2 linked regions of the Cricetulus griseus genome follow. The protein of the gene in region 1 interacts with the protein of each later gene in a pairwise test. Links are inferred from orthologs where the notes say so. Each region holds a gene or a part of one and is shown on either strand. Other genes may lie near its edges. The genes, in order: protein-arginine deiminase type-4 and Anxa4.

Evidence for each region.
Region 2: the proteins of protein-arginine deiminase type-4 (region 1) and Anxa4 interact in binary tests that used the Homo sapiens proteins (3 or more experiments, as listed by UniProt). The two-hybrid records come from large-scale screens. The link is inferred for Cricetulus griseus from reciprocal best matches to the Homo sapiens genes PADI4 and ANXA4.

What each region holds. Positions count from the first base shown.
Region 1 is NC_048595.1:12,490,657-12,494,474, forward strand, and holds part of protein-arginine deiminase type-4, read left to right. Parts: intron 1-1,533; coding exon 1,534-1,714; intron 1,715-3,786; coding exon 3,787-3,818. UniProt on the Homo sapiens protein: Catalyzes the citrullination/deimination of arginine residues of proteins such as histones, thereby playing a key role in histone code and regulation of stem cell maintenance.
Region 2 is NC_048601.1:58,492,076-58,495,893, reverse strand, and holds part of Anxa4 (annexin A4), read left to right. Parts: intron 1-364; coding exon 365-455; intron 456-2,867; coding exon 2,868-2,947; intron 2,948-3,818. UniProt on the Homo sapiens protein: Calcium/phospholipid-binding protein which promotes membrane fusion and is involved in exocytosis.

The sequences.
Region 1 (3,818 bases):
CCCTCAGCTTCCACTCAGTTGGGTAACTCAGCAGCTGCCTTTCAGTAGCTTCCTGGGTGTGGTTCTCATGCCTGAGGGTGCACAGAGCACCCTGGGGACAGGAGGAAGCTCAGATCACTGGGTTCCAAGTCTGCAGCAACAGGTCTGAGGACCAAGCCTGGGAACCTGTCTTCCTGTTTCCAGGGGAGGCTGAGGCAGCTGCTCCTGTGCCTAGGACCACGCCTTGCCTGTGGCAGGTGGCTGAAGAATGCCGATAGGGAAAGTGTATCCCTGGAGATGGTCCTAAGCTCATCTGACCTGGACCTGCAGTGGGTGGTTCTTCAATGACAGGGTCATTGAAGATGAGAAGACAAAGATAGGGAAGTTGAGACCAGATCTTGCCTAAGCTGATGGCTTGCACCAAGAGTTTATGGAGAACTAGAGCACCCTCTAATCAGTTTACTGAAAGGAGGGGCAGAGACAGCAGAAAGCTATCACACAACGCTACAAAGTCAGCAGGAAGCTAGCCAAGCAGTGTTGCACAAAGGGAACACATGGTGTCTCAAGAGCATCACGACTGAGCACACAGTAGCCCTGGATGGACAACCCCAGTCTCTTCCCCAGAAAAGAATCAGATGCCCAGGAACTGAAACCTTAACTCCTTCAAGGCCCAGATGGACCTTCTTGCCAAGTCCACCCCAAGCAAGGACCAAGAACTGAAGTTCCCTTTGTCCTTTTGTCAGGACCTCTGAGCTTGACCCCCAACAACTTTTATAAATTTTATTTTGAGAATTTCATACATACACGAGTACCATACTGACCTCATTCCTCCCCTCCCTCTCTGGTCTCCAATGCTACTCCTGTCCCCTCAGCTACTCCCTCTCAAACTCATGTTGTTTGTAAGAGGATGAGCCTCAAGAATGTCTACCTGCTCTGCCTCCCTGTGTGATGGTGCACGCCTTTAATCCCAGTACTCAGGAGGCAGAGGCAAGAAGATCTCTATGAGTCCCAGGCCAGCCTTGTCTACAGAGTGAGTTCCATGATAGCCAGGATTATATAGTGAGACCTTGTCTCAAAAAAAAAAAAAAAAAAAAAAAAAAAAAAAAAAAAAGATTATTTGTCCTGTCACAACTTCCGAAATCTGTGTGGTTTTGTTTTGGCTGTGGTTGTGGGGTTTTTGTTGTGGGATATATTTTGAGCCCTGTCTCCAGTCCCCTGTGTGCGATTCTTTATATGCACACAGCTCTTGGCATGTCCACTGTTGAAGGTCCCCTGTGTGCACACTGCTCCATGGGTGTGCAGGAGGTACCTTTGTTACACACCTCCTGCTGCTGTCTCTCTAGTTCAAGTGTAAGGCCTCCAGTCTGAGGATTCCCATTCTATTTTCTCATTCCTTTCTGGCAATCATACCATATTTACTGTCTGGCCAGAGCAAGCCCATTGGTGGCCTGTGTTTCTTCCTGCCGGGGAAAGGGGGACGGCTGGGACCAGTGTGGTGGTGGGCCAGGCCCTCTCACCACCAGTGCCTCTGCTGGCCCCTGTCTCACTCCACAGCTCTGCCCCTAAGGGCTGCACGTCCTTTGGCATCACAGCCTCGCCAGGAGTGGTTGTACATGTTGCTCACAGTCCTCCAGCCAAGAAGAACACCACTGGTGCCTCCAAATGGCCTCTGGACCCAGAGCTGGAGGTGACCCTACAGGTCAAAGCAGCCAGCGGCCACACAGATGACCAAAAGGTGGGTGTGATGACTGGGGTGCAGGGGGGGACCTTCTGGGTGGGGTGGGTGGAGGGCTGAGGGTGGGGGAATGAAGAGTTGAGGGGGTTTGGCTGAGGGGGCTAAGGAGGGTGGGTTGGAGCCTGGGAGGTGGGCAGTGGGGGGGTGGAGGGGAATGAGGCTGGGGTAGGGGGCTGAAGGTGGGCTCGGGGACTGATTGGTGGGCTGGGGGCTGATTGGTGGGATAGGGTAAGGGTCTGGTGGGTAGGGTGGTGTGGGGCCCTGGTGCCTGGAGTGGGGGGCTGAGGGTGGGAGATGTCAGCCCCACAGCTGCTGTACCCAGTCTGATTCCATGTACAGGGCTCACTCTGGGAGAGTCTCCTTCTCCTGGCCAAGTTCTCAGTGACTCCTCCCTCCACAGTGTCCTCATGGATAGGACACGGATGCTTGTCAATCTTGTACTCATCACTGGGATCAAATACCCAATAAAAACCAGATTAAGGAAGGCTGGGCTTATTTTGGCTCACAGCTTAGGGGCACAGTCCATCATGGCAGGAGAGCTCAGTGACAGGGGCCTGAGGCAGCATCCTCGGTCAGGAAGCAGAGAGAGACGGATGCTGGTGCTCAGCTTGCTTTCTCCGTCTCCCTTCCACTCAGTCTTGACTCTAGCCCACCAGACAGTGCCATCACCACATCCCGAGTGGGACTTCCCTCCTCAGTTAAACCTCGCTGGAAACAAGCTCATAGGTACACCCAGTGGTGGGTCTCCCAGTTCTAAATGCAGTCAAGTTCACAGTGGAGCTTGCAGGGGCCTGTGAAGGCTGGAATCCGGATCAAGTTCATCCACTTAGCAACTGTTTAATAAACACCATCTCATGCAGAAATAAGCAAGGCACTGGCGTAGGAGGCTATAGTCCTTGTGGGCATCAGGTAACATGCAGGTAGACCTCATATATGTGGCCATGGGGTCCCTGAAGGTCACAGGCAGGGAGCCCCCAGGGGCACCTTCTGTGCCCTGATGTTAGTTTCCAGTGGCCGCTGCAGCAAATCACCACACCAGCTTGCATGTAGGTGGAATTTTCTGTCCTGCCAGCCAGCTCCCAAATAACCACACAGAGACTATTACTAATTATAAATACTCTGCCAATAGCTTAGGCTTGTTACTAATTCGCTCTTATAACTTAAATTAGCCCATATTTCTTATCTACGTTCTACCACGTGGCTCAGTAACCTTTCCTCAGTATGGCATGTTCACTTTGCTTCTCCCCACGTCTCCTGACAACTCCACCCTTCTTCATCCCAGAGCTCTCTTCCTGTGTAAAAGTCCCACCTAACCTCTTCCTGCCAACTATTGGCCATTTAGCTCTTTATTAAACAAATGAGAGCAACACATCTTCACAGTGTAATGACCCACCCCAGCCTCCCTGTTTGCACAGAGCTACCACCTGCCTCTCTTTCCCTCTTATGCCTCTTGAACCTCATTTCCAGCTGCTGACCCCCTACTCCCCTTCTGAGAACTTCTCAAGCTACAGTTGGGGTTTCTATTGCTGTGATGAAATACCATGACCAAAACAAGTTGGGGAGGAAAGGGTTTATTCAGCTTACACTTCCACAGCACTGTTCATCATGAAAGGAAGCCAGGGCAGGAACTCAAACAGGAAAAGGATCCTGGAAGTAGGAGCTGATGCAGAGGGCATGGAAGGTGTTGCTCACTAGTGGGCTTGCTCAGCCTGCTCTCTTATAGAACCCAGGACCACCAGCCCAGGGACAGCCCCACCCACACTGGGCTGGGCCTTCCCCCACCAATCACTAATTTAAAAAATGCCCTACAGTCAGAACTTTCTCAATACAGGCATTTTCTGAATTGAGGTTCCCTCCTTTCAGATAACTTTATATTTTGTCAAGTTGACAGCCAATAAACACCTCCTTGCCAAATCTTCCCTCACCCTTTTCTCAGGCTCAGTGGATCCCTCCATTTCTGGACTCCCTTGGGACCCTGAGTTGAACTAGATTAAGCCAGCACACAGCAGGGCTCAGACTGTGTTTGTTGAATGACTAAGAGAAGTCATGAATGGTCTGTTATTATCTTATAGGTTCGAATTTCATATTATGGACCCAAGACCTC
Region 2 (3,818 bases), on another chromosome or scaffold:
AGAGAAAGAGAGCAGAGGTCAAGGAACGAGCAGGACCACAGAAAGCAGAAACTGCGCCTAACTTGCTATGACAAGCAACAGGTGGCAGCCAGGCTGTACAAGTGTGTGTTATTATGAATAATGATTATGGTGAATACACTGGGCTTAGGCAGGCCAGGTAAAAGTTAACAGGCCCTGCTCCTGGACCCCAGTGGGCTGGCATTACCCTGCAGCTTCACACCTACATTTCTCTGAGTGTGGGGCTCAAGTTCTTCAGTTGTGAGCTTAATTGTATTATTACTTTATTTGTTTAACTCTGCATAAAAATTGCAGATTAACTTGATCCACTGGTTCATACCATCCTCATCTCTGGCCTCACATTTAGGGAGCTGGCACAGATGAAGGCTGCCTGATAGAGATCCTGGCTTCTCGTACCCCTGAGGAGATCCGTCGAATCAACCAGACTTACCAGCAGCGTGAGTAGCATCCTCCAGTGTAAATGGAGTTCTTAACTGGTCTAGATAATAAAATGCCAGAGTCAGGTATAGAGGGAAATGCTGAGAGATCAGAGAGAAGGAGGAGCCACAATGCACCTTACCTCCTAAGCTTCTCAGCAGACAAGAGAGCAAGTTCCCGTTTCTCCCTGTTTATACCCTGTTTCTGCCCAACTACCTCACTCCCTGTCTGTCTATACAGACCTCTATGGTTAGCTAGTGGCAAACTCATTTCTCTGACCCTCAGACAGGTTTTATTTGTACAAGCAAGATATCACCACACTCCAGACCCCGGCACAGGTTGCCTATGACTTAAAAACAAGACTGGTGACTGTTATATCTCAGCTATTAGATTATGGTGGAGCTTTCTCCCCTTTATTTTACTTATTTTTCCTCAGATTTCTGCCATATATATGGATCACCCACCAGGGTACTAGGAATGGGCCCTGGAGTCTCTTACAAGCTAGGCTGGAGCTATACCCCAGCATTAGTGTTCCCTGGGTTTCCATAGTTAATATGCGTCACTTCTGTGGAGGAAACAGTCATGCAGTAAGGAGTGTTGCACAGGGTTCAGAGGTTGAACCTAAACCATGAGAGTCTGAAGTTAGCCCCTGACCCTGAAGGTTTTGGATTTAGCCCCATAACCCTGATTTCAGCCCTGTAGGGGTTCTCTGTGATCACCACAGCCAGAAGAGTAAGGGGAGGCAAGAAGGCAATTTGGTTCAACATGACTACGTAGCCAGTGTTGGTTCAAACTTTGACCCTGAGTCATTTATTTTAGGCATATTTAAGCACAGCACAATTTGATGAAAAATTTCCTGGTGATAATCAACCCAACCCTGTGTGCACAATAAAATTCAAGATATGACTACATTGAAACTCTTTGGAAAGTATCTATGATGCCTTCCATAAAGATGGGTTCTATAGATTGGATTACATGTGACACCTCCCATAAAGATAAGTTCTATAGATTGGCAGGCTCATGATAAGGGTCTGGGGAGGATCTAGTGTGGTCTTGTCCACACAGACAGTGCAAAGGTCACCAGGCTATTAACCACATCTGCTGCCAGCCTTCTGGGTGGATAGCAGCTTGTACACCCCTTTCTTTGAAGGAGAAATCCTGTGTGTTTAACACTCTTGGTCGCCCTAGTGCTTATCTGTGAGCATAAGAACCCCCATGCCTCCCACACAGTCCCACATAGGGTTGGAGTTAGCCCCTAACCCTGGCATGTGTCCACATTGGCTTCTGTAGCTATAGAGAGTGTCATTCATCAGAGAGATCTGTTAGAACCTCTCTGGGGACCTCTGTCCTGTGACACTAGTAACCTTCAACAGCTTCTGTAGCAGGCTTTTTCTTTTAGGCCACCAACCAATTCCCAAATCATGACACAGAGACTTCTTATTAGTTACGAATGCTCAGCCTAGCTTAGGCTCATCTCTGGCTAGCTTTTTTTCCCCTTTAACTTAAATTAGCCTGTTTCTCTTAATCTATGTTTCACCTCAGGGCTTTTTACCTTTCTTTTTGTATGTCCTACTCTGTGGCTGCTGGCCGGTGGCTGCCTGGCTGGCTCCAGGCATCTTCTTCTCTTTCTCCCTCATTCTCTTCTTCTAATTCTCTGTGCCCACCAGTCCCACCTATCCTTTTACTGCTTAGTTATTGGCTGTTCAGCTTTTTGTTAGACCAAGCAGGTGACTTAGGCAGGCAAGGTGAAACAAATGCAACACATCTTTACATAATTAAACAAATGCCGCATAATCAAATGTAACACACCTTTACACAGTTAAAGTAATACTCTGTGTAGCATAAACAAATGTAACATATCTTTACCTAGTTAAAGTAATATTCCACAACAAGCTTCCGTTCAGACAAGTGCAGAGCAGAGTCTCAGACAGAAGGAAACCAAAGAGGACTCCAGCCCTGTCTTCTTGATCCCCACCATCTTAAAGAGACAGCCATAGCACATACATGGTCATATTTACTAGGTCATATTTACCATTTGTTTTTTTTTGTTTGTTGTTGCCATTTTTATGAGCTAATGGGCTTCATTAGAATTGCTTACAGGAACATAGGGGAAGGGTTACCTACAGGAACATGGTGAACAGTTACCTACAGCAGCATGGGTGAGCAGTTACCTACAGGATCATGGCTGCTTTACTGATGGTTACACCACTGAAGGAATTGCCTCCCCTTGCCCAGCAACCATTACCTTCTTATAGACCTGTAGGGATGGCTGGGGCCACACAGAGTTCAGATTTAGAAAACCTCACATGGGGTACCACTTTGGTTTGACCTGCTCCCATGAACATGCTGCCTTGGAGGGACAGAGCTTGCTGGAGGGTGACAGCACTAGGCAGGACTCTGTTCTGATGTACCCATTTTCAATTTCTTGGCAGAATATGGAAGGAGCCTTGAAGAGGACATCTGCTCAGACACATCCTTCATGTTCCAGCGAGTACTGGTGTCCCTGGCAGCGGTGCGTGACTTCCTTGGTGATGGCTTCTGATAGGGGATGCTGGGTTGATTGAAACATGCACCCTCCTTTACCCGCCCTTCAGTCATTCAGTCTCCTAAACATGAGCACTCCCCAGGTGTCATCCCCGGGCTGCTCTATCCCTTTATCTTATTTCTCCTTCAGAGACCTTGGCTAGTCATGCATGCCCAACCATTTCTTCTACTTTAATTCACTGTTCATGGGTCCCGTGTTTGTGCCAGCTACCTCTATTACAAAGTGCATTGGATTACAAGGATATGGAGAGATAACTTTCTGTGTTTTAGACGTTTATACAGTGGCAGGACTGGAGAGGTTGCAGAGGACCTGAGTTAAATAAACCCCCCACACACATTGGATGGCTCACAACCACCTGTAACTCCAGATCCAGGAGACTGACTGCCCTCTTCTGGCCTCAATAAGCACCTGCACACATATGACACACACATATATACAACACACACAATGCATGCACTTTTTTAAAAATCTTTTTTTTTTTTAAAGAACAGTCTTCCAAACTGGAAGGCAGTGCCTGTCTATCACTCATTCGTATCCCTTCAGGGGTTCCTGTGGCCCTCAATGCTGGAGCTGGTGTATTTGGCACTGGCATTGCATCAGCTTCAACAGTTCTACCTCAGGTCTAGCATTCTCTTGACCAATGAAGACTGACTAGTTAAGAAGACTGAATCAGCTGTGTCAGTGCAGGGGTGGGGTTGGGAGCCGGGAGAAAGATGTTAATGTTCTTCTAATGGAAGAGACAACTTTGCAAAATCAAGGGTCACAATGGGGTTCACACTCCACTGGGAGCATCTCCAGGGCATAGGTCCAGGCCCTGATGATACAAGACGGCAGTCCT